Arabidopsis thaliana: one gene and its partners. The protein of the gene in region 1 interacts with the protein of each later gene in a pairwise test. Each region holds a gene or a part of one and is shown on either strand. Other genes may lie near its edges.

Region 1 (8,037 bases):
GAAAAACATTAACACTACTTGAGATATACTTCTTTATGAATCAATCAACCAAGCTCTCAAGAAATGTTATTTTGCGCAGTAAACCTCCGAGTATTAATGATCTAAGGATTTCGGAATCGAATTGGAGATTCTTGTTCAACAAGATAAACTGGTTCATCATCAAATTGTATGATATTTCAAGTGGCAAAGACTTCAGACTCCTTTTTCTGGTATAAATCAATACACACAATTTCATTTTAATTATTTCATACCAAGATTGTTTTGATTTTATAACTTGTGTCTCGTTTCGTTTTAGGCCGTTGTTTCCCTATGGATATTATCAGTGGTTGGAAACTATTTCAGCTCTCTAACTCTATTATACATCGGTGAGTCTTAATGAGGTTATCTAACACATTTACTGATTAACACTCTACATTTTCCAAAACTTTTTCTTTTTGGTAAAAGCCTTTCTTTTTGGTAAAAGCCTTTCTTTTTAAGTATGGCTTTAATTACAAACATTTTTGGTGTTTTGGTGAAGTATTTGTGGGTTTGGAGACAATACCGATGTTGTATGAGCAATACGAAGAAGAGCTGACTTATGCAGCAAGTAAAAGTGGGAGGGACATGAAGAAGCTCCTAAACAAATTCAACTCCAAAGTCATTAACAAGATCCCTAAAGCTCAAGCTAAAACTAGAAGGACTATGTAACTTTTATGTATATCAATCTTCCAAATCTGCACATATTGTTACACATTATTAAAACTTAAAATAAGTCTTTGTTCATGTAATCATGATTGTTCATCAAGGAATTCAGGATTCAATGGGTATTGATCATTAGATTTTCGTTCTTTATTGAAGGTGACTCGTTGTGATTAGAATAGTCTTTTCTAAAATATGTTATTACTGGCTATCACTATTTTAAGCATGATTGGTTTCTCTAAACTCTATGAAATATTCTTGTGCAATGAAAATGTTATTCGATATTTGCCATTCTGCTACGAAGCTTGACTGGGTTTTGATACCATTACATCTTCCTCAAACCTTAGTAGAAAGTTTTGTAAGAGTTAGCATAACTCACGTTACAACGATTTATTAGTCTAAAATTTTGCAATTTTGAGGTCTAACTTTATATCAGGGATATATTCAACAGATATTCGTTTCATTATTAGGCACCTCGCACCTCTTTGGTGATAAAAGAAAATAAAAATATATTAGGTACCTCTTTGGCTTCGTCAAGGTCACTAGGGATGTTGCTTCACATGCAATCAGCTCTTGATTTCTTACTAGAAAGACTCATCGAGACTCATCTATTTTCTTGTCTCTATTCATGTATTTTTTTTCCGTAAACCAAATTAAGTTAATATATACCTCTTGGTTTTTTGTTTGGATTTTTGTTTATCACTTTTGCTTACTGCTTCTCTATTTTACATCTTTGCATTATTCCGTAACTGTTTACCATTTATTTGTTAGATAGTTCAAATTGTTTTAAGTTGCTAATCAGAGTCTTCTAATCAATTTTTTGAATCTTCAGAAAAACAAATCTCCAAAATATTTTCGTATATCCATACATTCAAAGTCCAAATAGACATCTATGTAAATATAGTCATCTATGTAATTATGTCATTTGTAGTGCTACTTTCTTATATTGTTCTACTTTATGACCACTTTTAAAAACTCGCTCTTAGTTATGTTTTTTTGCTAACTAAGAAATTTTTAATTTATTTTTTAAGACAATCAAGTGGCCGCACACACAATTGGTTAACTACTAGCTTGTGATCCACTGACCCTAGAGTTAAACCAAAGGGCAGTATATATAAGAAAGAGTCGTCGCATCTTTTTTTTGGTGACTTCTGACTCGAAAACGCAAAACCACACATTTGAAAATATGCCAATTACAACTCTCTTTATCAACTAGTCTCAACAATTGTCACAAAGCGATGCACAAAAACTCTTTCAATGGTGAGAGGAGAACTCGCGGTAATAGCGGCGGGTAATGGTGAAGTCTCACTCTACATTTGGGCAGCTGTTGTGGCTTTCTCCGTCATAGCAGCCGTGATTTTCTCATGCAGTGACCGAGCTTCTAAACCTCACACTAACGACGATGTCAATGGATCCAGTTGCGCCGCTGGCTGCGGTGGTGGTTGTGGAGGTTAAACGGGAAGCATTTTTTGTTTACTTTAGTAACATTTAAAGATAAAACTATTTTGGCTTCTTGCTTTAATAAAAAAAGTTAAAGTGTGTAGATAATTTGTAGCCAATGAATGTATTCTGCTTCTTGAATTTAACATTTTAGTGATCTAGTTCGTTTTCTATGATTCAAGATAAAAATTATCAAACTAGGGTTGTAGTAATGTTTGGTACAAACGTACTATTACACGTAACATAACATCTTTGTTGTTTATTTAACTTACATTCAACAAAGAAAAAGGTTGAGCAAAACAGAACATAAATAACAGAGGAACAATGCTCAACCAAAACAGAACATAAAAAACAGGTGTTTTTACATATTGTGGCATCAAACTAAAAGTTATACATAAAACTACGTATGTATTTATGTATCTATGTACATATCTTAGTTTACAAAGACAGTCTATATAAACAGCAACGAGTCTAAAGCCGGAGGGTCTTAAAAAGCCACATAGCTAGAGCTTGTTTTAAGGTTGAGTTTGATTTGGCGGCACTGTTCCATATACCTGTGATAAAAGATTGATGGCAGAAATCAGAATCTGTGGAATCAGATTAAACTTTAATTTGATCAAACCTGAGGATATTGCGGGATATAGGTCATGTTTTGCTGAGGCATCATTGGAACTCCTGGCGTATAATAGCCCCAAGGAGACATACATGGTGCTTGAGCTGCTGCATAAAATGGTGGTGTGTAAACCGGAGTTGTTGTGTATGCCATTGACATAACCTGGACCACATCCACATAACACATAAGAACATATATACTCTAATGGATACAAGTAACTAAATTAAATTAGATATAGTTTAATGCTTACATCTACTTGATATTTCAAACTTTTAATGTATTCAATGATGTTTTCAAGCTTCGATGCAAGGTCCGGCTGTAGATAAACACACAAGAAACTCGATATTCGAAACTTGATATTGTATTAGACTCTAATATATAAAAAATATGGAGTAAATTAAGTAATAGTTAACCTTTGTGCAATGATTAGGCATCAACCCCTGCAAAATATCTACTTTATCTTTGATCTCCTTTCGTCTTTTCTACAAAGTTTAGAAAGCAAAAATATAAATTAGCTAGGGAATCACGTAAGAGAAGAAGGAGATTAAGTCATCTTCACCTTCTCCATCATCATACGATATTCCATGGAACGTTGCCGTTTAGCCATACGGTAACTTTCCTCGTCTGGCTCCTCGTCGTGTTTCTCATGATCATTGTTTTTGGTAACACCGAATATCTCTTGCAAAGGGTTTAATTCACTATGATTTTCTGAACAAAACGAATAAATAATATCAGAAAGCGAACATTGCTCTTCTTCGTGAGTCCCCTCGTTGCGGTTGTTTCTCTCCATTGATGATTGACTAAATTGAGGATTTTGAGTTTGTTAAAGAGTGAAAAGTGGAGGGTTAAGGATAAACTAGTTAGTTCAGCCATAAGCTATATATATATAGGGGAGATACAAGAAGCTTCTTTTGAAAGTTCCAACAATTGAGCGGGAAGCAAAGAAGATGATTTTGCTTCGTCCCATGGTTTTCTCTAACAATTTATTTACTCATTTTCCATTATATTATTATATTTATGTGTTCCACATTTACGCACATCCATTAGACAGAAGAAAACATATATTTTTGTTGTTTTCTTATATTTGCTTTCTTGCTCTTTCTTGAAATTCTAAGAACGGCAGGGGAATAGTGTCATTCTTGTTCATGAACGGCAGTTCTTAATCTTTAGTATTTTATTTTTCTTCTCAAGCTAGCTATGGATACAACAAATTGCATTAAAATTGGAAAAACATTATCTAGTTGGAAAAGAGAACTGTAAAACTCCTATTACAAGTTCGAACAAAAATGACATATTTCAATATTTAAGAATTATTTATTTTGATTGAGAACAAGATAAACTTTCTATTATATCAACAACATGCATGGACATGTCCATGCAAGGGCAAGAAAATGTTTCTAGTCAGAAATTTGTTTTGACCGGCTTGTAACACTGTGCAAGCTAGCTTCTGATGTGATATTTAGAACGTACGTTTGCATATATTTATCGAGTTACGTGTCTCTTCAATACTCATACATATTTTAAGGAGTCATGCACCAAAATCTTTCATATAAACATGTGCTGATCAGAGATCTTGAACTCTCTATCGAATAGCTTCGCCATCGACCCAAATACATAAGACCGTCGTCTGATTACTTCATTGAGACGGGACGTTTTTTATAGCTAGATGTACTATTTTAATTTGGGTTATTTGTGGATACATGCACACTCTCGTTACTTCTCCTTCTTAAATAAACCTCAACCATTTCATTTTTTTCTCTCAACCATTTCATTTTTTTCTCTCAACCATTTCTTCAATATCTCGTATATATTATTTGAACAATTGGAGACAGATAGAAAAAAAAAACGGACAAGCAAAACATATTTGGTTAACCTGCCATCATATGAGCGATTTGAAAGAAAAATAATATAAAATTTCGATTGCCAAGTTTAAAACTAACATTTAATTATGAATGTTTTGGGTGCAACAATGAATATATTTTTTACACTAACATCATTATAGTAACAAATATATTTAATGTTGTAAATAGATATTTGCAATATCATTCAATTTAGTTATAAAAAAAATCATTCAATTAAATTAATTTCTTAAGTTAGTTTTTGTTAAACAATTGAATCTATAACATCATTAACTATTTGTTTTGCTCAAAGATTGAAAATAAAAACAGAAAAAAAAAATGAATTTAAGATTCTCTACAGGCCCAAACCGCGGATCAAATATCTAATATTTAAATATTTATGAAAATATTTCATTTTTAAATCTTTCTTACAAATTATAAACGTTAACGAAAAAACAAAAAAACGTTAACGAGATATGTAAGTTAAAAAAAATCACTTATATATGTTTATCATTTTAGCTACAAAGTTTTTTTTCTTTAAAACAATATTAATATAGTTTTTTTGCCAAAATAATAATATTTATATTATTTATTTTATTTTAGATATAATATAATATATTTCAACACATTTTTTGTTTATGTTCGGAACAATCCTTAGTTTCACAATATAGCTAGATTCTTCTTGGTGATTAATGTGAATTAATATATGATGTTGCGCACTAGAACTAAACACGAAAACATTGCATTTAAACAACCAAAATACTATAAGTTGTTTACGATAAACAATGTAAAACGTTACAACGTTACAGTATACTATACAACAGTGCGAAAACGTACAACAAAGAGCAAGCCACATAGTACTCCTAGTTTCAAATACAACTTGGGAGACCAACTCCTTTACATTAAACAACAAACCATATTATTAAAGAACTTGAGAGAACCGGTCTTTAATACTAAAACATGAACTGGTCTTATATACTACAGCATCTTGTAGTTTACATCGGCTTTGTCGTCTGTGGTTGATTATTGTTGTTGACTCCCTGTAAATTTTTCATTGTCAAGAAAGAACAGATAAATAAAGAACAACTAACAATCACAAAAATATAAACACATGAAGAAGAAAACAAATCAAAACCTGATAAGTGGTAAAGGGTACAAATTGGTTGGCGTAGCCGCTAGTTTCTCCTGGTGCCGGTGCTGCCGGAAAGTGATTGTAATACATCATGTAGTTTGGAGGGACATAATTATAAGGATATACCCATGGTGCCGGAATATCCACCACCCCCATGCCCGGTGGCATCATTAGACCTATTGAGTTTCTCCAATAACTCTGCATTGTTAAATATTGAGTTTAGTCATGATAAATGGTTTTCTTTAATTACTGCTTTTGTCTAATCCAGCAAGTAAGAAATGACATTCACTTAACTATCATATAACATATGATAAACTGAATTAAACAAAACCAATGAAAAAGAAAAATTTGAAACTAAAAAAACATATATGAAATCCTAAATATACATGCATGTCGTGAGATAACAACAATGTGACGATTCAGATTACTTACTTCTACACAAAGCTTCATCTCCCGTATTTTATCGATGATATACTCAAGGCTCGAGTCTAAGTTTCTCTACGTACAGTTCATGCGGATAACAAATTAAAAACAAAGCAAAAGTTGTATTAGTAATATCAGACCCAAATTTATTTTTCATTAGCGTTTGTTGATACAAGTTAAATGGATGTCCTAAAAAAACACCACTAATTTAGTTTTTTAATTAAGGACATATGTTAAGTTTCAAACACAAATAGGAGAATAAACTTCTTGTTTATACGTATATGAACAAAATATTTTGATTAGTAAAGATAATTAAACACATGTATCAATTTGTATTTGCAACAATTAGATGAAAAAAATAGAGGCAAAAAGTTGGTATGCATGAACCTTTCCATTACAACGTGTCATCTCCTTCAACGTCTCAATTTTGCTATTAATATCATTGCGTCTCCTCTGCATTTTGAAATCAAAATAACAAAACATTAAGCCTTTTTCCAAAAAAATAAGAAAGAAAAAAACGTTGAACAACGTGGTCTTTTTCGTTGAGAGACACGCATTAAACAAACAAACGTGTCCTCACCTTGTCATTGATAATGCGTGCTTCATAACCACGTGGTCTCTTACCAAGACTCTTGCTTCCTTCCTTCGCAGCATCTTCCTTCTCCTTACCCTATATAATAACAAAGTTCGTATTAGACCTAACTCATATGTAAAATAAATAAACGGAAAAAAAAACTCATATATATATCTAAGAAAATCAACTACATAATTACCTTTTCCGTTGCTTTTTGAGTAGATTTCTCTTGATCCGTATTAACGTTCTTATATCCAGCTTCGGCTGCAGCATTTGCCGGTTGAGCCTCCTTACCTCCAACCTTCCATGGCTCAGCCGGCACATCAATGGCCATCGGTCGAACGTCCTTACCTCCATATTCAAGAGCCTTCCATGGCTCAGCCGGCTCATCAATGGCCATCGGACGAACCTCCTTACCTCCATATTCAAGAACTTTCCATGGCTCAACCGGCTCATCAATGGCCATCGGTGTAGACATGGTCATTATCGGGCTTCTAACCACAGGATATGGATTATCTTTAGGTTCTGAGTCAGCAAAGGATTGGAAAAGTGAGGACCAGAACTCTACGGTATCTCGATCGTTGTCCATATTTATGAAAGGTAACTAGTTGAAGAGTGATATGGAGAGTTTGTGCCAATTGCAAGAGGTATTTATAGGAGAGGAAACAAGAGCGGGAAAGAGGGTTATCGACTCAAACTTCTGTCGGAACTTATCATATTACTATAGGATTTCTATTTTGTCCCTTGAGGATATATATTATATATCCATCTTCTTGTTTTTATGTAAATTTCTTTATCCATCAGTTTGTGTTTCGTTATTTATCCACTTTTCACACTGTTGTTAACTATAATAAATCGGAAACTTGATCAAAGAAATCCGATCCAAAATTATTTCTCACCAAGTTTTCAGAACGATGAGAAAAGTTGTTTTATAAACGATATAGTTATGTGAAAATAATGTAGTAAACCATTGTATGTATATATATTGACGAGATAAAAGCTAGTATACAGCTTCATATGAAATGTTTTGAAAAACATGAAGTACACTGATAAGTAAAAGTTCAATCTAAAATAATTTCACCAAGCAAAATATTTGTAAGGAATTTCACAAATACGAACAAATTTTTACAAACACAAGAAGAAAAAAAACAAATACTGATTGAAAATTGAAAAATTTTAAAAGCTTCACTGATAAATTCACATGGAACTATTACAATTTAGTTTAAATCAACGACACTAAATTTAATTCAGATATTGATGGATCTTCTAAAGTAATTAAAATTCTGAAAAAAAAATATATTTTACAAAAATATTTTATTAAGAACTATTTTAGATAGAA
Region 2 (8,598 bases), 780 kb from region 1:
TTGCAATGTTTCTAATGTGACATTGTTGATCTAGAATATATTCAGAATGCGTTGCATATAGATTAGTGTCCGAAAGTTTTATATCCTCACAAATACCAAGCTTAATAATCCAACCTAGCTGATAAGATAAAGCTTTTGTTTTGGATTTTTTCTTATCACTAAAATAAGGGAATTAGTAACCCAAAACAAAGATAAGAATGACAAACAAGAACTGCGATTAGAAAAAGAAAATCTTTTATTTATCAAAACCTCACGTTGTATTAATCAAATCTCTGTGCACGTGGATCCTTCTGTATTATTAATCATAATTGTCCATTCAATAAACATACTTTATGATTACAAAAACCAGCCTGCCATTCTCTTAATGACACATTGTATGTGATTCGATATGTAGGATACGACTTGGGGAGGTACAGTTTTCAACTCCTTTCATATAATAACAATAACTATAACTTCTGGTTTTAAAATGTAGCATGTGCATTTTTATCTTAATTTATTTGTATTTTCGTAATTATTTCTTATTTAGTGTTCATAGTAGAAACTAGAGAGGATTGAACTAAGAGTAATATAGAAATATATATATTTTTAAAATTTATTATGGAAGTAGGAAATTTTTGATATTCAAAACAATTTTGAAACCCTAAAACAACTTCTTAAACCCAAGAATTTTTTTTTTCTTGCGAAAGACTTAAATGCATTAAAATGATAAGAAGTCCAATTTTCATAGTAGTAACTTTGAGGGAAAATAAACGTTCGTTATGTAATTAACTTTAAGAAAGGAAGAGAAATTACTCTGCCAATTTTGTTGACATACTCATCGATCGACACCAAACATATATGTAATGAAGCTTCAATAAAGTTCACTGATAAAAAATTAAGACCCTTTTCATTCGAACAAAATGTAACATTTGTATCTAGTCAACCTAATCAATGGCTAACGAAATCATTAACGAGACAACTGTCATGACAACATAGCTTGTCATATTACATGAAATATTGTTAAACTTCATATATCATACTTTTATAAAACGATCATATCGAGTAAAATACTTACTATAATACAACAAAATAATGATTATCGAGTAAACAATGTAAGTAAAACTGTACGCTTAAGTGGCTTGGCATTTATGACTATATTTGACAAATAACATATGAAATTTCGTGTTCTTAATTATGGAGACATCCAAACAATAAAAGAGGGAATTATTAACCATTATACAAGGAGAATCCTCAAAGGAATATCCTCAAATTGATCAATTGATGACGTAGTTAGATTCTTAATGATAAAATAAAATTATTAGTTTAAAAAAAATAAAATTATTAATAGTAATTGGATTTTTGTAATCGTATATGTATCAGTACGAATTTAGGGCCAGAGTCAATAAGCTCAAGCTCTATAGAAACAAAAAATTATCACAATAATCATCCATTGTCCATCCTCTTTTAAAGAAACAAAAGTAGCTTACCATTAAATGCATTTAAGTTACGGCCAGAGTCAATAAGCTCAAGCTCTTGAAAAAAAAATGTCTAGCAGTTTTTTCGGTATCCACCTTCCACATTTGTGTTGTGACAGTGAAGATTGCAATATTAAAATTGGTTGAAATATCCAGTAAGAATGAAAAAATATTCACATAAATAGTTGAGTTTTTAATGTTTTAAAAAGAAAATGATAACAGAGATTTAAAAGAAAAATATAGATCATGTTTTTTTTTCTTGAAACCAACATTGATCATTTTAAAAATCATAAATAGGTAAATATTTTGATTAAGAAAAATATAAATTGGTAATAAGTTTTTTTATAGAGATTTTTATTACGGAAAGAAATACCAGACCAACACTAAAGCTTATTTTGTATAGCATTCATGGTTTGAGCGTGTTATTATTACAACTAATCCAATATAATTTAGGGATGGTTTGGATTATTTTTTGAATGATTTTAGGTTTTATATCTTTGTTTTATGATTCTTAAAGTTTTGGAACGAATTACAATTACCAGTGAGTGACTACAATTGACGGTTATATGTAGTTAATACTTCTTTTAGTTTCTTTTTGGCAAAGTTAATACTTCTTTTCAAAATTATATTTTTAATGTCAAATTGTCAATTGTTTTTCCTTTCATGTGCATATACATTTATTTTAACCTAACTTAAGTAAATGATTTAGAAAATAACATTTAAAAGGTAATAAAATTGATTTTTTTCTGTTTCTATAAATAAACTCAAGTGTAATATAATACAATAAGACTAATATTTTACAAAACTTCTGAAAACAAATCGAATTGAAATTTTGATATTTCGTTTCAATTCATTCATTTGTTTACATAATGCCAGTCTAGTAAGATAAATATGGAATCATGTAATGGATTATAAAATAAATAGATTATTGGACTTCTTAATAACTTCGTTTGTCTTATTGACTTGATGGAGCTCGTAAGTACATAAATACAAGTACAGCGCCTAAAGTGGGATTATCCATGTGGCTAATCATGTAGTTAATTAATTTAATAATTTTGGACATACATTTGAATATCAATTCAAATGAAAACAATGTATAAATTAATAAGAACACGTATCCCTAATCTTTCCCAAAGGACACATGCTGACATGGGCTGATAAATCGAGATCTTAGGTATGTCGTCCAATCAATTAATATAATCTCATACTTAATTTGAGAAATAATTTTATACGATAAAGGTGCTGATGTGTATCAGTGTATGGTTATCCTACAATTAATTGATAAAAAAAATATATGCTATTCATCACTGATTTTAAGATTTCTCAACTTTTGGTTGAATACTTATTTACCTACATATAAAAATGTTTATATTTTCGAAAATACATATTTTAGTGTACCAAAATTATATCATAAAATGTTTTAGCCAAGCAAACTAGGTTAACATTATGTTTTGATCATTCATACAGAGAATGTGAAAATGTTTTGCACAGAAGAACTCGTCGTCCTAGAGCAATTATAAATAAAAAAATGGTCTATTTTGGTAATAGAAATTCATAGTTTATCTTTTTTTTCAAAAAATACTATGCATTGCAATCTATATAGAGACCCTATAATATGTGTGACAAACTTTTGACGAATTTTAAATAAATAAGCATGTCGCTCAAGAGCTAGCTTTAATAAAGCCAAGCTCAAATAGACAAAGAAAGATGACAAAAAGATAGATTCTCTGAAACTGAAACCTCAAGGAAAAAACAAAAGTGAAGAATTTTATTACTCATTTCTTGGAGTTTAAATAAAAGATCTGTATTCCGTAGACTAAAACACACAAAATACAATTAAAACAGAAAAAGAAATTGAAAAACATATTTATGTTTTTAACACTTATTTACTAGTTAAAGATTCCATCCCCGTGTGGACCCATATCAGACTGATCATCGGTGAATTCAATGTCTCTTGTCTTCTCTTCGTTATAGATGCATTAAGAACTTCTCGATTTTCACATAATCTAACGTTACATAATCTCGATTGTCTTCTCTTTGGATCATATTTCAAAATTTACGTGGGATTTATAATCGAGAGAATCATTGTTTCCCCCGATATTATTACAACGTACGTAATTAATGTTTGATAAACTGATTTATTAATGATAAAACCCTTCATTAATTGGTGATCAGATTCGAATTCCTGTCTCGTTGTGATGAGGAGAGAATGGCATCAATGGCGTCTTTAACTTGAGAAATGTCAGGAGCTTTTCCTCCTTGAGCCGGCCAAAACTCATCGGTCGCTAATACCTAACAAACAATAGATTATATCAATACGTGTTACGTAATAATTCGATAAATATGGTAATTAAATCAATCCTGAAAATTAATTTGAGGGATGTTTGTCATAACTAATATACCTTAACTTGTACTTGAAGGAACTTGACATAACTAATAGCCTTTTCAAGCATTGTCACCAAATCAACCTGTGAAACATAACAAATATTATTATCATGAGAATAAGTAATATAATAAATCTGTCATAAATGGTTATATGGATGTGTACCTTGGTGCCATTGGGAACAAGTTCTTGCAATATCTTGAGACGTTCACTTATCCTTTCTCTTCGATTCTGAACAAAATAAAACATATGTAAATATGTGTTGAGAGATTGAGTTTTATTTTAATGAATGTAAATTAATGTCAAGAAAGCAAACCTTGGCTGCTAGGCTTTGTGGATCTTTAGGTGAAGTTGTTGGCTTAGGCTTGGTCTTTCCGGTCACACCGCTACTCAGTTTCTTCGACGGTTGAGTGCTCTCTCCCTATATATCCATAATTCAAATTGATAGTAGTATATATCAACGATCTTTCATTGACATCTTATATGAAAAATATTCACCAAGACTTTGTTGTTTGTAATTACCGTGTGAGAACGTTTGTTTCCAGCGGATTTAGGCGAAAGAGACTCGTTTCTAGAACCAGTGGTTACAACAGTTGAATCAGAATATAACCAGTCTTTCTGGCCTTGGGGAGTTTCGGTGGATCTAGGGCTAATAATATCCATATGATGTTGATGATTCCAGTTTGTGAAGCCGTAGCTCATGTTGTTGCCCTCCAAGAAGGAGAAGCCGCCCCCACCGCTACTACCACCACAGCTTATGGCTGGAGGAGGAAAGCTCTCGTGATGATCAAAGTTAAGAAATGATGATCCGTTGAAATCCATCAAAGAGTTGTGATGATCTTCACCGGATGGGTAAAATACAAACCCCTGATGTTGTTGATGATCTGAATTCATCGTGCTACTGCTCGAAGCCGAGCCTCCTCCTCCTCCTCCACCGGCATAAGCTGCATCTGGCTGATCCAGTCCCGGCGAGGAGAGATCTTCGGAAGAGGAGGAATTTTGTTTTGACAAGTAATTGGTCTCGTTGGGATGGTCATTAACGAGTGCCATTAGACACTAATAAGTTTGATAAGTGATTTTTTGTTTAGGGTTTTTGTGTGTCTTGTTGACGAAAAGTGGCTTTAAGGTTGTCTATTGGTAAGCAAAGAGAGACAATGTGTTTGTGTAGTTATGTTATGATAAAGGTTTATATAAGTGGTTTATGTCTAATATTTTATTTAAGCTAGTGACGTATTCTTAAGATTTTTTTTTAATTTATTGAGTTTGATTAAACTGATTAGAAAAAGAAGCTGGCATTAGATCAAATTCAATATTTTACGTCATTTTTTAAACTCTTATCAGTTTGAAGCTTCGAAGTTATGAATGCATAGAATTCTAGCTAGACATATGTTATTTTTTGTACATTTCCTTAACTGGGAATATTGGACTAGCATGCCTAAAACGTATGGTTACTAAAAATGCTTGTATTTGTTTTGTTTTTTTGTAGTCATTGTCTCCTTGTAATGTTGTTAGTAACAACTTGTTACTCTGCCTATGGACACTCATATTTCTTAGTTCTTTCAAGATAATGACATCCATTTTACTCCGATGTTCATCGACAGACACTACACAACATTTTTTTTTTTTTTTTTAATGTGATACTTGAAGATAATGACAATCACTTTTCTACTAGATGAATAGTTCTAATAAACACAACCTTACATGTTTTCTGATACTTTTTAGATCCTCTTTAAAAAGATAGCTAAAATTTTGGTATTCTAACTTTTAAATTTTACATATTTATGATACTTCCACATATTCTTTCATTTCGTACTAACTGCACTGGTTCCATTATTTGCTTCTATCCCACTATTTTCTCACAGTTAAATTTGTTCCATTTTTTTTTTTTTTGGACAAAAAATTTGTTCCATTGTTATTATTTGAAACCTTACTCTATACAATAGTTCTTAACCAAAAAAAAGTTGTATGTTTAATATATCGTAAAATCTACTACATTTTTATTTAACCAATAAAACATATTCACATTATTATTTTATTTTTAATTTTCAATTAACTGAATGGATAAATATAAATATGAAAAATGTAAATTAAGTATTAATTAATTATAAATTTCGATATTTATTGAAAATTGTAGTAAGAATACTGAGTTTTCATTAGTTCTTTTTCACTTTTAATTTGTTAAACTCAAATGAACCCAAATTAAGGTATTTTTTTTTTTAAAAAAAGAATATTGTAAAAGATTGTCTATAGACAGAATTATCTTTTATGGTATTTAATCAATTGAATCGAGTCGGTACCATATATGTTATATAAAAAATACTCCAAACATAGACCACTAATACTGGTGAGGAAAAATTATATAAGTTATTTGTATTGTATATAATTTTAGCAACTAATGTGGCACTGTAAAACCACATGATCAACAATGTAAATAATAAGAACTCATTTTAAAAAATGGCATAGAAAAAATCTTGACGTCGGGGAAAAATATGGATCGCATATCAAATACATCATTATCTTTTTGGAGTGATAAAAAAAATGAATGAACGTAAATTAAAGTGTTGTATTACAATATTTATGAGTAATTGTTGTATTACAATATTTATGAGTAATTCATCGGGATTGTTAGCTGGCAGTAAGGTGAAATTAATGGACTGAGACTTTATAACCCCAAAAATAGTTTATTAATTAAGAGAAGCGAAAAACATAGAAGCAAAATCATCGCCGTATCTTCCGCTAATCTACACGTCTTTTTGATTCCCATATATATGATCGATTCTAATATATATCAATTCTTTCGATGATTCATTTTCATTGTTTATTTTGTTTCGATGATTCATTTTTCCTAAGAACCTGCTTCTTACTTTCATTTCTTTAGCCGACACGTCGACTTATAAGTAATATACTCCATAATATAGTTGTTTTAGGCTAACTTGTTTTATTTATTTTATCTTCGTTAATATCTTTGTATATAATCTTTTTTTTTTGTTGAAGTTTTGGACATTCGGCCCATTCTTTGGGTTTAGAGACCAAAACATGCTAAAACCTTTTTTTTTTTGGTAGAAATAAAATTCAAACTAGTTCGATACTAATTTATGTTTTGTACAATCCGTCTTTATTGAAATAACGTTCTTTTTTATTCCTTTTTTAAATCATTTTGAGGATTTTTTTCGACAAAAAAAAGTTAGGATTTTTTTTGCTTTCAAATAAAACATTCACACCTTATCAAACCAGTTAACATTTACTCATTTTTGATGGGCCGAGCGAGTAAAGTGGGAGCAAAGCCCACGCCCAACATTATTGTGAAATAAATTATTGATGAAACTGTGAAAATAATATAATCATATAAGTTAGTAAGATAAAAATCTAGAATTTAGAGAATCGAAATCATTTAATGAAATTATCTAACAAAAAATATTATATATTGTATTATCCATCATCGAAATTGTTAGTAACAGATAATATTGTTTACAAACACACTAACTTTAAATATGGACCAAGACCATGATCCAAGTAAATAGCCATACGATTATATATGTTAACCATCTAGAGAGAATGATCCCTCATTACTTTATAAGAAACACATCCGACAGCTAATTTAACCAGTTTGTGAACGACGACACATATATACTAAGAAACATTACCGGGAAAAAAACAAAGAGATATAATACTTGGACACTCTAGTCAACACAATGTGTAGATAACTAAAGCAGCTGGTCTTTCTAATCCATTTTTAGATAAATTATTCTTTACTTCAAAAAGTAAAATATCTTAACTCTACTTATATAAGCCTTTTGGTATATCTTTCACTATCGATTCCTCTAAATATCTATAGATATTACTATGGTGTATAATAGCTATGAAAATCATTTACTTCTCACATAAATAGAGAAATATAGAACCATCAGATGGAAACATACATCAACATCTCCAATTTCTTTCACACAAAATAAACTTATTTTGTGGTCATGGGCTTTGGTCTTGTCCCTCTTTGAGCATTTAACAACAACTTTACCAACTAATCTTCTTATATTAAATATGAATTAATCGCTCTAACAATATTTCAAATAATTAATTATAATTATATCCTCCAACTGTTATCCTAACAATAATTCAAAAATAATTAATTAATTCACAATTATTTCCCCCCTCCTCTGTTTTCTTTTTCTTGCTCAACAATACATTGACGGTTTTAGTTCATGTTCTTTGAGTTTTAAAATACACTTTTCCAAAATTGAAAGAGAATTGTTGTTGTCACTTTCCCTCTTACCTTTCTTTTTCTTTAGATATCTTCAGAGAAGAAAGAATGGGGTTATATGTTCATCAACGAAACCCAAATACAAATCCTCAGGACAACAATCTAGAAATAAAAACTCATTTGAAAAAAATGATTCTTGATTTGGGTTTTCCTTGTTTTGTTCCTCCTCGAACCAGCTCTCGTGAGGACAACAAAGCTTGGCTTCTGGCTGAAACAGAGCCGAAGCTTATTGACTCAGAACAACATTCGTTGCAGTCTTCGTTTAGGTTTAGTCTTTGCTCACAGTTGGAGCTGGAGAAGATTAAAAAGGAGAAACCTTCGTTGTCTTATCGGAATTTTCCAGTGTCTGAAGGATCAGAGACGGTTCTGCTAGTGAATCTGGAGAATGAGACAGGAGAATTGACAGGTGAGATGAATTGGTCGAGAGGCCTTTCACTGGAGAAGAGTATTTCTCCGGTGGCCGATTCTTTGATCCGATTCAGTTACCGCGAACTCCTCACTGC
Region 3 (9,114 bases), on another chromosome or scaffold:
GATCACATGAATGTCCAGTAACCAGGACAATATATAACACAGTAATTACTCATTAGCACCCTATTCTTTTATTTGTTTACTATTTATAACCACATAACATGTTTATTAATTAATGTTTTTATCAAACAGTATTCGAAAATTGCAAACGCAAACATACAAACCAATCAAAACGTCTGTGTGTCGTATTTGTGTTTGCAAATTTCAAGTGAATGTTTGATCAAACATTAAAACTGTTTTTTTTTTTTTTGTTAAACAACGTTAAAACTGTTATGCTTTTAAAATACAGACAAAATATTCTAACTAGTAGAACACAGAAATCCAAATGTAAATGATTTGCGTTTGAAAGTTTCAATATAATTCCACTTATTTAAGTTTTAGGACAATTATTAAAATTTTGCCACCAAAGTTACCACTAGTACTTCAACGTGTATGAAAGTAGTATGCACATATATATGCAATTTCAGATTTTCGAATCTTTAGATATCACAAATAAAAGAAAGACAAAAAGATAAGTTAAACTCTTTCATCTATTCTCTTGAGAAGTGTAAAAAGCCAAACTATATAGAAACTTGTATACTTCTTGTCATCTTCTATTTCACTCTATTGTTTGTTTTCTTTTGCTAAATCTCTACTTTGTTTGTTTTTGTCTCATTTTGTTCAATATCTTTTTTTCCAAATCAACGTGCAATTATTTGGAAAATAAATCTATTAAAAAAAAACAAGAAAAAACAGAAATGTAATGAGTGAAAAACTGACCTCAAGATAGATGTTAATGGCTCTGTATAATCCATCAAACCAATCTCTAGCTGAATCTGGCAAACTCTCTGCAACTTCAAGAAACTTTGACACTTTAAGATTCTGGTCTGGAGATATCTCTCTGAGATACTTATCAATCAACTTCCCAATTCTTCTCATTCTCAAATTCTGATCTCCTTCTTCTGTGTTTCCAATTCTTACAAACACTTTGAGTAATCTTATCACCAAATCCACATCGTAAACCCCTTTTTCTCCTTTTCCTCCAGCTGGTATCAGAAGATCATCAAGTGTTGCTTGATCCAGCATTTCTCCTATAACCCTCTCTAAACCAATTCTTGATTCTTTACTTATGCTAAATCCCGATAAAACTCGCAGAACCCAGAACATTTTTCTGCATGAAAACGCGGTTTTCGCTGCGAAAACCACTCCTTGAACCGCTGTATCAGCTAAACCTGAATACTCGAGCTTGTTGGTTGACTTGTTTGGGACCTTTGTCTTGAGGTAATGGAGAAGAAATTTTGTGAGGACCAAGCTGTCATTGTTCTTATCATGCGCACCAAGTGTATTTATCAGCTTTTCAATGATTTTTGGCCCGAGAATTGACATATCGTCGAACCACCACTCGTTACTTGTCCTGCAAGAAAAAGACCTCGAAGTAGACCTTTTGTCTGAATACGACCTAATCATTGCCGTCTCCGGCGACTGAGAGGAGGCTGAGGCAGAGGCAGAGGAAGACGGAGAGGATGATGAAAAGACATGACTCACGTCTGAATTCTGAGGGATTTTGGCTAAAACCCCGAAAACAAGCTTATCAACAAGACCGTAAGAATCAGCGTGTAAGAACACTTGCTCGCAGCTCTTGAGACACAATACGATGTCGTTCCAGGACCAGTAGAACATTCCTTCTAGAAACTTCTCTGTTCGAAGCAAGAGATTCGAGGAACAGAGTTTCTCTGTCATCTCAAGGAAGACAGAAGAGCAATGCAAAATGGACACATTTGAGACATCTATCGAGATTCCTCCACCATAACAGAATCTTAAAACCAAGTCGAACCCATCTGACCCACCTGGAAAATCTTCAACCTCGATGATGATTCTACTGTTCTTGTGATTCTTTTTCTTCTTATTGCTCTGTTTTATCATCTTCCTCAAGAAGCCTGAGTACTCTGAGATCAAATCCTAACCCAAGAAACAGAGAAACAGAGTTTAATTCAGAAAATGGAAACAGAGGAAGTTAGGGTTTGAATTAGTGTGGAGATTTGATTTGGTTTATTACCTGATTGACGAAGAAAGTAAATTGGTTATTGAGATTGATTTGAAGATCACAGCAAAGAGACATTGTATCAACTTCTTTTGCATTTGGTGAAGATGAAACTTCTTGTGAGCTTTCTTGTTCTTGTTCTTCCTTTTGGATTGGAGAGAGAGAGAGAGAGCAATAATAGTTATCACATGGAAACGGCTATTTATATATCTCTTTTTCGGCGTCTTTATTTCAATTATCTAATGTACACTTTCTTTTATCATCCTTTATAACTCATATAAATTTATGCAAAAGGAACTTATATACAAACGTCATCGAAAAATTGTATAAACTGGTCGCATGGACCAACTTGTAACCCTAGTGTGTAGACCATCTAAAATAGTGAAAATGTAATAATTTGTTGCCGTTTGTAATGAAAAAATTATTGTTCGTTATTGTTTAGTTTTTTTGGTATTAGATAATAAGATTCATTGCTTAATCGAAATGTACTATATGATATTAATTTTGGAGCAATTAGCTTGACATGCATAGTTTACTTCTTTACATTAGAAAACCTTTTTTCTAACATCGAACTTAAGAAAAGTTATATAAACTGCATTAATTGACTGCATGTTTATTTTGAAATCCATATAATCTTGTGTGCAGAGCACAAATCAATATGACGAGGCGTTGTTAGTTGTTACTAAAAATAACCAGGTGCAAAGATTGATTCCTTAATGCTTCATTGATCAGGATGGCCAAAAAATAAAATAAAAATTGGTGTTAGAGGAAGAAAAAAAAAATACAGTAGGTGGGTAAACAAACAGCAGGGAAATAGCTTACAATTTGTTGAGAATAATTCATAATTATGACCAACATTATTCAGGTTATTTGGGGTAAAGTAAAAATGTATTGCATCAAATCAAATAAGATTTACATTTTAGACAGTGAACTATAGGTCACGACTAATATCAAATATATATTTCCAGTAGCACAGAAAATGATGCTTCATGAACTCTCACTTATGACTTGTCAATAGCTCAAGGACTATGCTACTCAAGTTGTAATATATATATTCTGTATTTATATGCTGTTTTATACACACGTAACGTATATATGAATGTGCCCCCTTTGTTTTTATGTGAATTATAAATATTCTCCCTTTCTTGGCATTACATTATAAATTCGTAATACTATTATTCCACTTCCATGTAATTTCAAGAGTTTTCTTCCCTTTTTATTTGTAGAATATTTATATATCAGTTGCTTGTAAAGTTGGGAGTTTCACTTTCATTGCATGTGAATGGGCCGGGTAGGGTTTTATGACTCTAACGTTTGTGAATAAAGTCGACTACTTGCTTTTCATCATTATCCAAATCCAGCCATGTAAAATATATGTAATTGAAAACGATATATGTAACAAAAATGTTATAAAAAAAAGATACACCAATGTCGATATACATTACGACTCTTTGAGTACAAAATAAAAAAATATGACTAACTTCCGATAATAGTTTTTATTTATTATTAAAAATGAAGTTTCCAAATAAAATATCATTTTAATATCCATACAAATTATGAATAGTATGTGAGGTTTAGGGCAAAGTCTTCTGAGGGTTCATCAATGGGATGGGAGTGGGACGAAGAAACGAAGGCGACGAGAGGATTTAGGTTTTATTGTTTTAAAATTTTTGTGCTCTAGTATTTAAGCCCTTTAACAGGATTTTACAGGGACCAACAAAAATGTAAAGCCCCAAAGGAAGAAGCCCACTTAAAAAATACTAAAGTAAAAATAAATAATTAACAGGCCCATTTGGCCTCATCGACTAAAGCTAGCCCAAAAAGAGGATACAATAAAATTACATAAATTTTGTGTCCTTTTCGATTTAACTTTTTCTTTTAGAAGAACAATCCTTTGTTTTTTTGTGCAAATCTTTAGAATCTCGAGACCAAAACTTAAGTAATCATCAAAAATTTTGTCAAGTTTACATTTCTATGCCAAAAATTATACAATATCATAATGTTCAAGCAGTGCTCTAGAGAGCAAGAAAAAAATGGTTAAGACATAAAAACTAGTCGGCTAACACTGTTCAAGAACCATGATTTATTTGCTTCATCAACGAACTGATTATAATTCAAATATTACAACAGAGCGGCAAATCATTCGAAACGCGGTACGAACATTAAAATTTGATGTGCATTTTGGCCAAAATATTTGTTGATGGATTCAATTGGGTAGTGGAAGAAGAAACTGTCAAAGTACACCTACTTTGCAGTCAAGTTGTAAGAACATAAAGTACGTATTTTTTTACAATTTCTAAATATACTAAAAGCTTGCAGAAAGTATGTATATCTAGAAGTACGTATCTCTTACGTTTGTGAAAACTATTTTTATAATTTGACAATTTTAAATGATTTGATTATTACACAAAAATAGTCGAGGTTATGTAAAAATATTTTTTAAAATTTTCGATATTTTGTCCGGTACAATTATGTCACCATCTCGATTCAAGATATAAAAGAGTTAATTTAGTTTCACAATAAAAATCTCGTACTTACTTTTCAAACTTTATAATTGTGTTGGATAAAAAGTACAATTGAATCTTTTAAAATCAACAATGAGTGTCTGTTTTGATAAATGCATAAATTGGAGTGAAAAGAAAAAAACAATTCCAGCTTTTGCGAAGTTGGACATATTAAATTCTACACAATTGTTTTTTTTTAAAAATACAGAATTGTAGATAGAATGAATATTGTTTTTTTTAATTAAAATAATTGAAAAAATGGGGATAAGAGAAAATGGAATAATGCTTGTGAGCAGAGAGAGAGAGCGAGCGAGGAGGCTAGAGAATCGAGAATCGATCTTCGCCGAACCACCTTGTCTTCTCTTAGCTCATCGAATCTCTCCGTCGCCGTCGATTCTTCCCGCCGGTGAATCTCTGCCTTATTGTTTTCTTCAATTTGATCGTCCTGAATTCATCGTCCTATTTAGGGTTTCGATCACAATCTGGTACTTCTCTTAATCAAAGGAATTTTTATTTTGATTTTGAGGGTTTTATTGGTTTGAACTTAGCTCTCTAGCTCGTGAAAGTGTTGTTAGTTCGTCGTGGAAATCAATTCCTTCCCTGTGTTCTTCTTCAACAACGTTTAGTAATTTTTTCGTAGATGTTTAAATCTCTAACTTGTTGATAGAGATAGATGTTATTATTGCCAAATTAGGTGTACAAAAGAATGTGGAATTTTCTGTTTGAGATTAGCTTCTCTAGTAACCTTCTTTGCAATTCATGATGCCAATTGCTAAGTATGTAACTATGTCTGGTATGTGAGCTGGGATCATATGATACCTGACTATCGACTCAAAGAGAATTATGTTAAGTCAATCAAGGCTTAGTTCTGAGGCTACAGTGTGTGTGGTCGATGTGCTGTTATGGTGGAATTGGATACTAAAATATGTCTAAGAGTGGGACTGCAATATGACCTTCTTAGTTTATTCGATGTTTTGGTTGCAGAAGAGGAGGTCATGGACGTTTCTGCTAGAAAGTCACAAAAAGCTGGGCGCGAAAAGTTGAGGAGGGAAAAACTGAATGAGCATTTTGTTGAACTGGGAAATGTACTCGGTATAGACTCAATGGTTATGTGGATTTTTCTAAACAGCAGATGATCTCACTTTGATCCTCACATAGCTCTTCTGTTTGCAGATCCAGAGAGACCCAAGAATGACAAAGCCACGATTCTGACTGATACTGTTCAGTTGTTGAAAGAGCTCACATCTGAAGTCAACAAACTGAAATCTGAGTACACCGCATTGACAGATGAGTCCCGCGAGGTTCGTACCTTATCCCTTACGCTCCAGGCTTTTCCTAACAGAAAAAATTAGCAGTCTACATGACGTAAAGATATCGATAGGGATCCCAATATAGATAACTCATTGTCTTTTTGCTTTTACGATATGGTGACTACACCTATTTCGTAAGATGCAAACTCAGACGGGCTATATAATGTAACTGCTTATAGGACTTGTTGTTATCATCAATAGCAACACTTACAAATTTACTGGTACTTGTATAACAACGGTTCTTTCTGTAGTTGACACAGGAGAAAAACGACCTGAGAGAAGAAAAGACATCGCTGAAATCAGATATAGAGAATCTCAATCTTCAATACCAGCAGAGATTAAGGTCAATGTCTCCATGGGGAGCTGCGATGGATCACACAGTCATGATGGCTCCACCACCCTCCTTTCCATACCCTATGCCTATTGCTATGCCTCCCGGGTCAATCCCAATGCATCCATCAATGCCATCTTACACATACTTTGGGAACCAGAACCCTAGCATGATCCCAGCTCCATGTCCTACATACATGCCCTACATGCCTCCTAATACAGTCGTTGAGCAACAATCCGTGCACATTCCACAGAACCCCGGTAACCGTTCTCGGGAACCTAGAGCAAAGGTTTCAAGAGAGAGCAGATCTGAGAAAGCAGAGGACTCCAACGAAGTTGCAACACAACTCGAATTAAAAACCCCTGGATCTACTTCTGATAAGGTAGAGAGACTTAAAACTAGAAGCTAGAGATCTCCAATTTTTTTCGGATTTATTATCTTCACAGTTATTCGCGAAATTGTATTTTGAAGGATACATTGCAAAGGCCAGAGAAGACAAAGAGATGTAAGAGAAACAACAACAACAACTCAATAGAAGAAAGCTCTCATTCTAGCAAGTGTTCATCTTCTCCGAGCGTACGAGACCACAGTTCTTCCAGTAGCGTAGCTGGTGGCCAAAAACCTGATGATGCAAAATGATTCGAAAGAATCTGATGTTGATCATCTCAAGTATCCAAGTATCGTTTCGATGAGTACTGTATATAGTGCGAGTACAAAATGCACTTAGCTGTTTAAAGCAGTGTTTTGATGCACCGTGGCATTCGTTTTCCTCGGATAGTCATTTCTCAGATGATTTTCATCCTTAATAGGTCTGCTTTAGTTCTAAAACTCGGATGATTTGTAATTTCCAGTGTCCAAATCTACTAATTTTATTAATCCTATAAATTAAACAAACTTATATCTTGATTTTTTTTTAAAAATCATAGATTATTTATACTATTGTACAAAAAGAATTACATTTAAATCGGTAAATATAGTTTCACCATAAATATATGGTTTCATTAATATCATAAATTAGTAATGATATAGATATATCAACAATATATATTTATATATATATTATATGTAAGAAATTTCTTTGAAATATATTTTTAATATTTAGTTCTCATTTGTACTTATTTGAATTTAGTTCTAATATTTTACTGTATCAAAAAAAATTTGGTGTTATTTTTTAGACATGAGAATTATTTTTTACTTATAATTAGTTATAAAAAAAATATTTTTTATAATGAAAGAAATCTTATAGTAAAAAATTACTATGAAAAATTTCTTTATAAATTAATAAAATTTTAGAATCCCAACATTATTAATTTGTAAAGGTTTTACTGTAGTTAAGTTCAAGTTCAATTTAAGCTGGTGCTAAACGTTAGCTACGTGTTCGTATGATGTCAACTGTCTAGATACAGGAAAATTTCTCCGAATATACAGCGACTACACATCAACCATAGAGAACAGTATGAAGTAAATATACCCTCTATCCATCGCATATGTAGTTTGTGGGAGTGCTCTGTTGGTTTCGCTTTCCTCTGATGTTGTATACCCTGTATTGTCAAATATGACTGCGACACGGTTCCCACTCATCTCATAGACCGCTAGATAATAGTCTGCATGTATATAAAATAATTGTTAAAGACAAAACATAGGGCATACCCAATATCCTTTGTGCATAGTATTTAGTATGTCATGGAAGTTAACTAGGTCTTTGAGAGTTCGAACGCCATGAAGAGCAAAAGAAAGAGAGGAAATACGGAAGAGAAAGACAAAACAAACTAAAAACCAAAAGACATTTGACCTATCGTTTCTGTTTCACAGGACGACCATAAGATGTAAAAGTCTTGCCCATCCATTCCACAACCCATTATCGATTCACAAGGCAACATAAGAAGAAGTTTACATTTCGATGAGCTAGAGCAATTCTCTAGCGCAGATCACAAACAACCAACTCCAACCTCTGGTTATACTATCCAAGATTTTTACAGGATGGTGCCTGAGGCTGCCAGGTTTCGAAGGAATAAAGAGTTTTGGTGTAGCAAGAAAAATTAAGTTACAAGACACTAATTATATTGTAGATAGAGACAGAATTGAAATAAAATATGGAACATAAATAAATAATTAGATAAATGAGTCAGCAGCTTCGGTGAATTGTTCTGTATCTCGGAGTATTACTGCCGGCGACGAGGATAGTCTTATCTTCTCCTCTCTAATGACTTTGATTCATTTTCCTCTTCAGATTCAAATCCTAGATTCAATCGGAGAATGACCACGACGACGCCGGAGAAGACTCCGGCGAGACCTCTCTCTATCCAAGATTGGGACGTTCTCATCGACGACTTCCGCGACGCCGGCGCTCCTCGCGACTGGTTCACTTCCGTTTTCCAGATTGATTCTCTGGTGGACTTCGCTCTCTCGTCTCTCCTCAAAAAAGACTTCCCTACACCAGTGAAGCTCTCAATCCTAGTCTTTCTCGATGAATTTTCCCCGATTTTGTTTGATAATTGTGGTAGCGATACCTTTGATCGCTTCATCGATGTTCTCCGGACGATCGTGCAATCTCCAACTGATGGATCGTCAGGATTGAAAGAGCAAGCTATGGTCTCTTTCACGTCTGTGCTTGTATCGATTGATTCTTTCTCTGTAGGTCACGTTGAAGCAGTTGTTGATTTGCTTCTTGCGCTCGTTAATCGTCCTAACCACGGATTTGATCGACAAGCTCGTGCTATCGCCTGTGAGTGTTTACGTCAGCTTGAGAAAGCTTTTCCTGGTTTGTTATCTGATGTCGCTGGTCATCTTTGGTCGTTGTGTCAAGCGGAGAGAACTCACGCCGTGCAAGCTTATCTTCTCTTGTTCACCACAATTGTCTACAATGTGGTTAATCAGAAGCTTAAGGTTTCACTTCTTAGTACCTCTGTACCTTTGGTGCCTTTTAATGCTCCTAATTGGATGCGTGATGAG
Region 4 (7,641 bases), on another chromosome or scaffold:
TTTCATCACCAGGTGGGTGCTTCAGGTCACACTTCCTCTGCAGGAAAAAAGTAAGGAAATTATACAAAAGCTACAAGATAAAATAAAACCATATAAATGCAACTTTAATGAACCGTGAATGTGGATATGCAAGTCAGTGACAATATTCAACAGAATCTGAAAGGTTGGGTACTATCTTCAGCAATGAAACTGGAATGCAAAAACATAGAATACAGATGTGAAACCAGACTATTGAAGCTCGCAATGGAAATGTAATTAAAAAGCATCATAAGACTTCAAAGATAAAGAAAAACAGTTGCTCACCATATGCCTTTGAAGCTGCTCTTTGCGTTTCATGAAGTTCAGGCAAAACTCACAAAAAAAGAGCTTCACACAGTCATTGTATTCTGGCGGAAAAGGGGAGAAGTACCAAGTCTCAATCTCATATTTTCCAAGCTCAATTGTTGATATGTTCTTCACTTTCGTGAACTCTTCATGTTCACGCAAACTTGCTGCATCCAGCTCTTCATGACCCTATAAAAACATTTCGAAACACAGAATACTGAATCAACACAAACCTTACGTTTCCAGGACCCGCCTTATATTGGCATTCATTACCTCTATATGTGTCTCATCGATCTTCCTCTTCTGGTGACGTGTCATCTTCAAGCTTGTTACCTAGAAACCACAGACATAAATCTCTGCTCATTGCTAAACGTATATGAGAAAACTCATGAAATCCACATTATGCAACTAACAATACAAAACTAGAGAACGCACCTTGTCTTCCACTTTTTCATCTACAGCGCACTCTACTGAATCAAGGTCCAGTTGGTCCAGCTGAGTCCATTCATCCAGCCTCCTATTAACTGCAGTTTCGAAAACAAATTACCAAAATCAAACACATTGATGATCATAAGATTTCAAAATCACCAACTTTGTCATCATATTACTCAGCTTAATCACAATAGTATAAATGGTTCAAAATCTTTAGAAGCAAAGTATAATGCAGAATTTGATCTCCTTCTCAAAAATCTCACACAACTTGAAGCCAATTCCAATGATCCAATTGATAAAGTCTTGCAATTTAACTCTTTTTTCTTCCTACATTATAAACCCTTGACTAAATTTCCACCTTTGTGAAGCTCAACAGTACGAATCAACCAAAATTGAAAACCCTACATCAAAACTTGATAAGGAATTAAACGACATACACTCAGTGTAATGAACGTAATACTCGTAATCATTTTGACCGCCGTTATGTATCCGCCGGCGCTCAATTACTTTCACCGGATGGTGTTTCCCGTCTCTCCACCGACACATCACACGAGTACCCACTTCTAGAGGAAGCATCCCCATTTTCCTCTTCTTCGACGGATCCGACTCTATAATAGCTTGATCAGGAGTTAAAGGAGGAGGAGGAGGATGAGACCCATCAACGCCGTTCGTAGCCGGAGGCTTTTGATTCGACGACGGTGGCGGTGCGTTGCCGTTGGTTTCTGTATTCGCTGACGATCCCATTTCTCGGTCGGGTCGGAGATTCCCGGGTGGGCTTTCTTTCTCATACGAGTAAGAGAACTAGAGAGAGAAAAACGGACACTTGAAATAAATCAGGCCCATTAGTAACTTTTCACATAATTGGGCCTATATTTATGGGCCGTTAAAAATATTGATATTTAATGGTGTGAAGTACATACATTTTCACCGGGATCACAGTTTATTCATAAAATTAGAAAGTTGTTTGATCATGTAAGAATTATCTCGAATCACATTGAAATATTTCTGTAGTAAAACGAATTAGATTTGAAAATATATGAATCATACCCATGGCTATTTAGTGACTATTAATGCATTGTTTGAGCTAAATAATTTGGTTAGACGTTAAGTTCTTGCAATTATCTCTAGGATGTGAATGAATGTATAACTATGTGGCAAAAAGAAAGAAAATATATTAAATGATTTCGTTAGCAAAATGGATATAGCTAGGTTTCCATGAATCTCACTGACATTTCATTGTGTCTTTATTAAAACCTATGAATGTGAGGAGACACAAAAGTCAGCGGAAGTATCCATGAGTGAAGTGAACAAGGAGCATAGGTTTCCTTGAATTAACCTCTCTGCTACTTTTCTGAGATTTTCTGACCAACAAGTGTGGAGCAAAGCTCTGGTGGTTTAATGCTTGTTTGTAGTCAAAGGTTTTCTTTTTATTATTGGGAAGGTAAAAAGAGATCTTGCAACTGTTTTAGTTGAACTTCTATTCATTAATTCGAAGACAAAACGAGCAAGTACATTTTCTCTGCACCATCCTCTTTATAATATGTCTCGATATATACTCTCTTTCTGGAGTAGAGTATCTGTATACCTTATCGGTTTGTTGTAATTTGAGATTACTTTATATTACAAAACATCATTTTATGGGATGATTGTCGTAATTTTCATTATGCTAAACGTTACTATAGCTAAACATTTTTCGTTAACATTTTTACAACAAGTATAATCGGATACGTTTAGTCTGTTAGACTTTTTAGTTTTCAGGTGATGTTTAATCGGATACTAACAAGTATAATCTAATAGACTAAACGTACGGATATTATTTTCATAACAACTTTTTTCTTTTTGGATTTTTCGTTGCTAGTTGTGAAGCTATATATTAAAAAAAAAGCCCTAAAGCTTATTGTAATTTAGGAATTCTTAAAGCTTATTCTAATCATAACAAAACGATTTTCAATATGTATAGGTATTAACGTTCAAAGTGAGGTATGTACGTAAAAAGATGAAAATGAAGCAATAGAGTACATTCATATTATATGCTCTAAAATATAGTACTTCACAAATATATGCGTTGTGTGTATACAAAGACAAAAGTCCACAGTAATGATAACACTATTTAAATAGGGTTCTTTGATGGCGTCATGGTTCTTATGCCCGAAAAATGCCCGGCCAAAACTTGTATACAACCAAACTCCAAATCAAGAACTTATTATTATATACGAAATGATAACATAATATTAAATATATGGTGGTACACAACTCAAGCTAACCGTTATGATTATTCCACAACCTTTTCACGGTCAACAACAATATATTATATATCCTAACAAACCCTTATTTCGTATCCATTTTTATTATATATAAACACTTTCCATAATTGCACCATTACTCACACATTATAGCATAATTTAGTTACTACTAATGGAAATGTCATCTTGTCTAGATTAATTCTCCTACTCCTCTTCCCCCACGGCCGAAACTTGGCGGTGGTGGCGGTGAAACCCATGACGTCGTCACCGCCTGAGAAGCTTGATCTTGCGGCGGCGGAGGAGTATATCCGGTATTATTATTGAGTAGCCGGATCTGCCGTTTCAAGAACTTGACATAGCGTATAGCTTCATCGAGCATTGAAGCCGTATCCATTTTAGTGCCACCTGGCACGAGTCTCTGAAGAATTCTGATCCTCTCACTGATTCTCTCACGGCGATGTCTAGCCGCCACACTCTGAGGGTCGTCGGAGATCCTCACGTTACGGCGTTTGGGTTTCTTGACGGTTGCTGGGTCGATGTCAACCGATTGCATGGCTGCGATCTTGTACATCATTTCCTTCATAGCACCGAGTTCCTCTAGAGGTTCTTCTTCGTCTTCGTCGTCTTCTTGATCTCCGGAGAGAAGAGTGGTGGTTGTGAGGGAAGAAGAGAGAGGAGGGAAATGAGAAGAAGAGAAAGGATTGAAGATATGGAGCTGTGTGTACTGGTCCATGGCCATACCGATTGGATCATTATTATGTTGATGATGATGATCATCATTCTTGTTGTTGTTGTTGCTGCTGTTGATGATGTTGTTCCAAGTGTAATTTTGGAAGAGAGATGGGTTCATATTATAATTATTCATAATTTTTGTTTGTTTGGTTCGTAAAAATTTTAATGCTTGAGGCGATGCTTATATGTATATATATATGTGTGTGTGTGAGCATATATATATATTAAAGGAAAAAAAGAAAGGTGATCATATGATGAGGGGTTAGGTTGGTGATGCAATTAAGGATTTTGGTTCGGAGAAAAAATAAAGAATAATTTTATTTATATGTATCTTTTCAATAAGTGGACGTCACTAGTCGTTACCAAAGAAAAAGATTAAATTGTATATAGTTGAATAAGAAGTTTTTTTATGCTCCGAAAATGTTTATAAACGTTGTAGCACTTTTGTATACATATAGTTGGCATAATCGCTTTTTTTTTTTTTTTTTTAATGAGCAGCTCCAGTTGACTAATGAGATAGTTTTGAGTTGGCTAGGGTTTCCCTCTCCCACATTGAGACTTGAATTTAGGGTATATCGAGAAAGTGGCTTTCACCAAAGTAATAAACTAATAACCACTAGCTATAAGAATGTGAATTACTTTATATGAACATGAGTTTCTCTTTGATTCACAAAAGATGTCACCACTTGTGTGCTCTTATTCTGACTTCTCAATTTACAATCCCTTTAATTATCTCCTTCTCTCTTCACAAAACCCATTCACTAAAATAGGAAATCTTGATAAATTTTCTCTCATTCTCTTGTCTCTTCACGAAATAGCACATTTTGTTGATCCTATACTCTTATCCCGATCAACGGTCGTGATTTTCTCTCTCCCCTCGATGGAGTCCAATATTGAATGTAAATTGTGTGTGAAACTCGCAATGTTATATATTATTATAAAACAAATGATCAACTTGCTTTTTTCCACAAAGCTATTCTATAACTTGCGACGTGATTAAAGGTTTATAAGGATAACAAACATCAAATCACTCGCATGGGGACACCTTAGCTTCTTCAACATTTGGGTGTTATCCATGATTGTCATTAATAAGAAAGACGTGTATCATCGTCGTGACTCGTTTATATAAGACGGTGGTGAATATATCATTTTCCATGAAGCAATTTCTGCTTTTTATTAACAAAGTTCACATCTACGTAACAACGTTCTTGTATACAAGTGTATAAAACAAACACAAATCCGTAAAATACACGAAATTTTATGAGACTTCAAAAGAGGCAAATTTATATACGTTGTTTCGATCCGTTTATACAAAAATCAGACGGTTCTGATTTAATGTGACAAGTTTCTTATGTCATATGCCTCAACACAAAAGCAATGTATAAATACACATGTATATGTACATATATGAGATATAAGCGTATATTTTGCACATATGTTATGATTTGGTCTGCATTATAATCATACAAATTGCGCATGCAGGCTGCAATCATGCATTATAGGGTTACTTCTTTGGTATTAATCCATTGTTCACTGTATATTATATTCTTATTAAATCCACCCAACTGCCAACTACATGTATGAACATCTACTTATACACACACAAGTTTTGGAAATTAATTTGATTCGATATAAGTATACACTATATAGTTTTCGCATTTATAGCGGTTTAAAATGAAAACCGCAATTAAAAGAGTAACTGTGTATTTAATATAATAGCTAGCATTCGATCATATTATTAAAGTATATAACAGTCATGAGCAAGACTTATAATATAATATAGTTTAGTTAAAAGAAGTTTTATTTTGCCATGTATTTTATATAATACAAATTCGGATGGATTGGAGCAATGAACAATTTTTTTATTGCCTGATCATAAATTTAGAGTGTTTTTTAATTAAGTCTATTAATATTTTTCATACATGTGAAAGTTAAATGATTCATTTTGGACAGCTAGTTTCTAAATTTCCACAAAAACATGTAAAATAATAGAATATATAAGACACATAAATTTAATTTACTTCTTAAATCTATGATTTCATTTAGAATACATATAGTATTTTATTATTACTTTTTCCTTTTTGGTTGTATGTACATTTCTGCAACTGTGATGTGAAATATCATAATGGTTTATAAAGCTTGTATAATATGTTTCGAAATGTATACCGAGTTGTAATAAACAAAAATTGAATGCAATTGATTTACTAAATCATGTTTTCTTTTAAGCAAATTATCACTAGCTTATCTATTATGATATGGTTTAAACATGTGACAGCTCAAGCGGCCCCCATTTCGTCTGTGTATAAAGTGTAACCGTAAACCCTAACTAGATGAATCTAGTGTAAATGTATATAGTACATATACACGTGAGTGGGTGAAATAACTATGCAACATTTTCCGATGAAGATTGAATCATAAAATCTGACAATCTCCATTATTTTCATCCAAATTATCGCGTACATAAAAAAGCATTAAATAACTATATATATATATAGGCCATACATATATAACTATTTTTTTCAGCAATTGTGCTTCTTCCTCCTTTTTATTAATAGCGATACAATCTTCCGTCTTTGTGCGTTACGATTCCCAAAGAACCACACCCTCATTTCCTCAGAGTCTGGTCTCTTACAGCGACTTCTCTTTTTCTTTCTTTTTTGGATTTCCTCTTTCTGCTTCCACCATGGAGAAGAACAAACAAAGAAAAACTCAGTGTTGTTTCTTTCCAAATTTGAACACTTTGTAATCTAGTGATATCACTTTATCTTACTCCAATTTCACCGGTTAGGTTTGGTCATTAAAAATGATCAAACCAAAAAAGAAAATGTATAAGTAATCACCAGTTCACCACTTGGCTTAATTCATCCAAAAATAAAATTTCAAATTGGCTATATATCAAGTTAAGAAAAATAAAGCTAGACGAAAAAGGTAGGATATATATGCGTTATTGTATTGATTTCTATAACTACGAGGGTAGATTATGTGTTATAATATTAGTAATGATGCTAAGTTTTTTAAAATGGAGTAGCAAAAAAAAAAAACATGTTTATTTTTTCTCTTTCGCGAGAGGATCTAAAAAGTCTACAAAAAAGTGATTACAAGGCATGGGAAGCTGCAGTGAAGAAAAGTGAAGAAGTCTCTTGTTTGGTCCGAAAGTGTTAGTGTTATGGAAAACTCTTTAATGAGTTTTTCACTTTATTTTTCTTTCTCTTTTGTTTTTGAGGGGAAGAATATTACACATATGAAATTGACTTCGAGGGTTTTCATTTTCTTGGATTATTGCAGGTACAAACGTATTTCCAGTATCCATGCATAGACGCATAATGCCGTATTGTAGCTACATACACGAGAAGTAGACAGTAGACTCATTTAACAAAAAACCAAATAGACTCAATCAATTATATGTTTTGATGAATATTTTAACATTCAACGATTAATATATCCACTAATGAACATTCTTTTTTTTCCAACATCCACTGATCAACATTTTGTTCGACGATAAGCATTTTTCTATAAAAAGGAATTCCTTAGCTCAGGTTTATGAGCATGCAGGGTAATTGAATCATCGTGAGTGGGGACAGTGAAAGAACAGTTTTTTTTTTTTTTCAAGTAAAGAACAATTTAGCCAATTTCAGATGATTTTTTTTACTAGATTAAATTAATTTAACACATTTTACTTAGAGGCATGTGATCCCACTCGTCTTAAATTACAGTACAAGTCCTAGTAAAACCGAACATTTTTGAAATCCAAAGAGTATAAGAATTGGGACAGAATAAAACATATATATAACCAAAAACCTGTAATTAGTTGGAACATCAGTCATGTTCCCTGCTAGGATTGGGTAAATTTTGTCTGTAATTAGTAAAAATAAATCTCCGTTGCCGGGACTCGAACCCGGGTCTCTCGGGT

The links.
Region 2: the proteins of AT1G68240 (region 1) and RHD6 interact in binary tests that used the Arabidopsis thaliana proteins (3 or more experiments, as listed by UniProt).
Region 3: the proteins of AT1G68240 (region 1) and bHLH121 interact in binary tests that used the Arabidopsis thaliana proteins (3 or more experiments, as listed by UniProt).
Region 4: the proteins of AT1G68240 (region 1) and HEC3 interact in binary tests that used the Arabidopsis thaliana proteins (3 or more experiments, as listed by UniProt).

The regions. Positions count from the first base shown.
Region 1 is NC_003070.9:25,572,546-25,580,582, forward strand, and holds AT1G68240 (basic helix-loop-helix (bHLH) DNA-binding superfamily protein), read right to left. Parts: upstream 3,585-8,037; 5' UTR 3,522-3,584; coding exon 3,291-3,521; intron 3,214-3,290; coding exon 3,145-3,213; intron 3,048-3,144; coding exon 2,982-3,047; intron 2,894-2,981; coding exon 2,741-2,893; coding exon of another isoform or gene 2,735-2,740; exon of another isoform or gene 2,673-2,734; coding exon 2,634-2,672; 3' UTR 2,319-2,633; downstream 1-2,318. Other genes in the region: AT1G68230 (Reticulon family protein), read left to right, coding at 80-209, 296-365, 518-687; AT1G68238 (uncharacterized protein), read left to right, coding at 1,936-2,133; AT1G68250 (uncharacterized protein), read right to left, coding at 6,886-7,287. UniProt on the Arabidopsis thaliana protein: Transcription factor involved in somatic embryogenesis. Acts as a positive regulator of somatic embryo formation. Acts as a positive regulator of ECP63 by targeting its promoter and inducing its expression.
Region 2 is NC_003070.9:24,791,615-24,800,212, reverse strand, and holds RHD6 (ROOT HAIR DEFECTIVE6), read right to left. Parts: upstream 5,000-8,598; 5' UTR 4,888-4,999; coding exon 4,360-4,887; intron 4,259-4,359; coding exon 4,154-4,258; intron 4,069-4,153; coding exon 4,003-4,068; intron 3,923-4,002; coding exon 3,857-3,922; intron 3,747-3,856; coding exon 3,615-3,746; 3' UTR 3,198-3,614; downstream 1-3,197. Other genes in the region: AT1G66460 (Protein kinase superfamily protein), read left to right, coding at 8,144-8,598. UniProt on the Arabidopsis thaliana protein: Transcription factor that is specifically required for the development of root hairs. Acts with RSL1 to positively regulate root hair development. Acts downstream of genes that regulate epidermal pattern formation, such as GL2.
Region 3 is NC_003074.8:6,899,063-6,908,176, forward strand, and holds bHLH121 (basic helix-loop-helix (bHLH) DNA-binding superfamily protein), read left to right. Parts: upstream 1-4,694; 5' UTR 4,695-4,779; coding exon 4,780-4,927; exon of another isoform or gene 4,928-5,423; coding exon of another isoform or gene 5,424-5,505; coding exon 5,506-5,613; intron 5,614-5,694; coding exon 5,695-5,822; intron 5,823-6,082; coding exon 6,083-6,544; intron 6,545-6,633; coding exon 6,634-6,801; 3' UTR 6,802-7,145; downstream 7,146-9,114. Other genes in the region: AT3G19850 (Phototropic-responsive NPH3 family protein), read right to left, coding at 757-1,935, 2,033-2,095; AT3G19870 (AP-5 complex subunit beta-like protein), read left to right, coding at 8,419-9,114.
Region 4 is NC_003076.8:3,023,212-3,030,852, forward strand, and holds HEC3 (basic helix-loop-helix (bHLH) DNA-binding superfamily protein), read right to left. Parts: upstream 3,904-7,641; 5' UTR 3,865-3,903; coding exon 3,190-3,864; 3' UTR 2,898-3,189; downstream 1-2,897. Other genes in the region: HAM2 (histone acetyltransferase of the MYST family 2), read right to left, coding at 1-37, 304-513, 598-657, 760-848, 1,194-1,500. UniProt on the Arabidopsis thaliana protein: Required for the female reproductive tract development and fertility.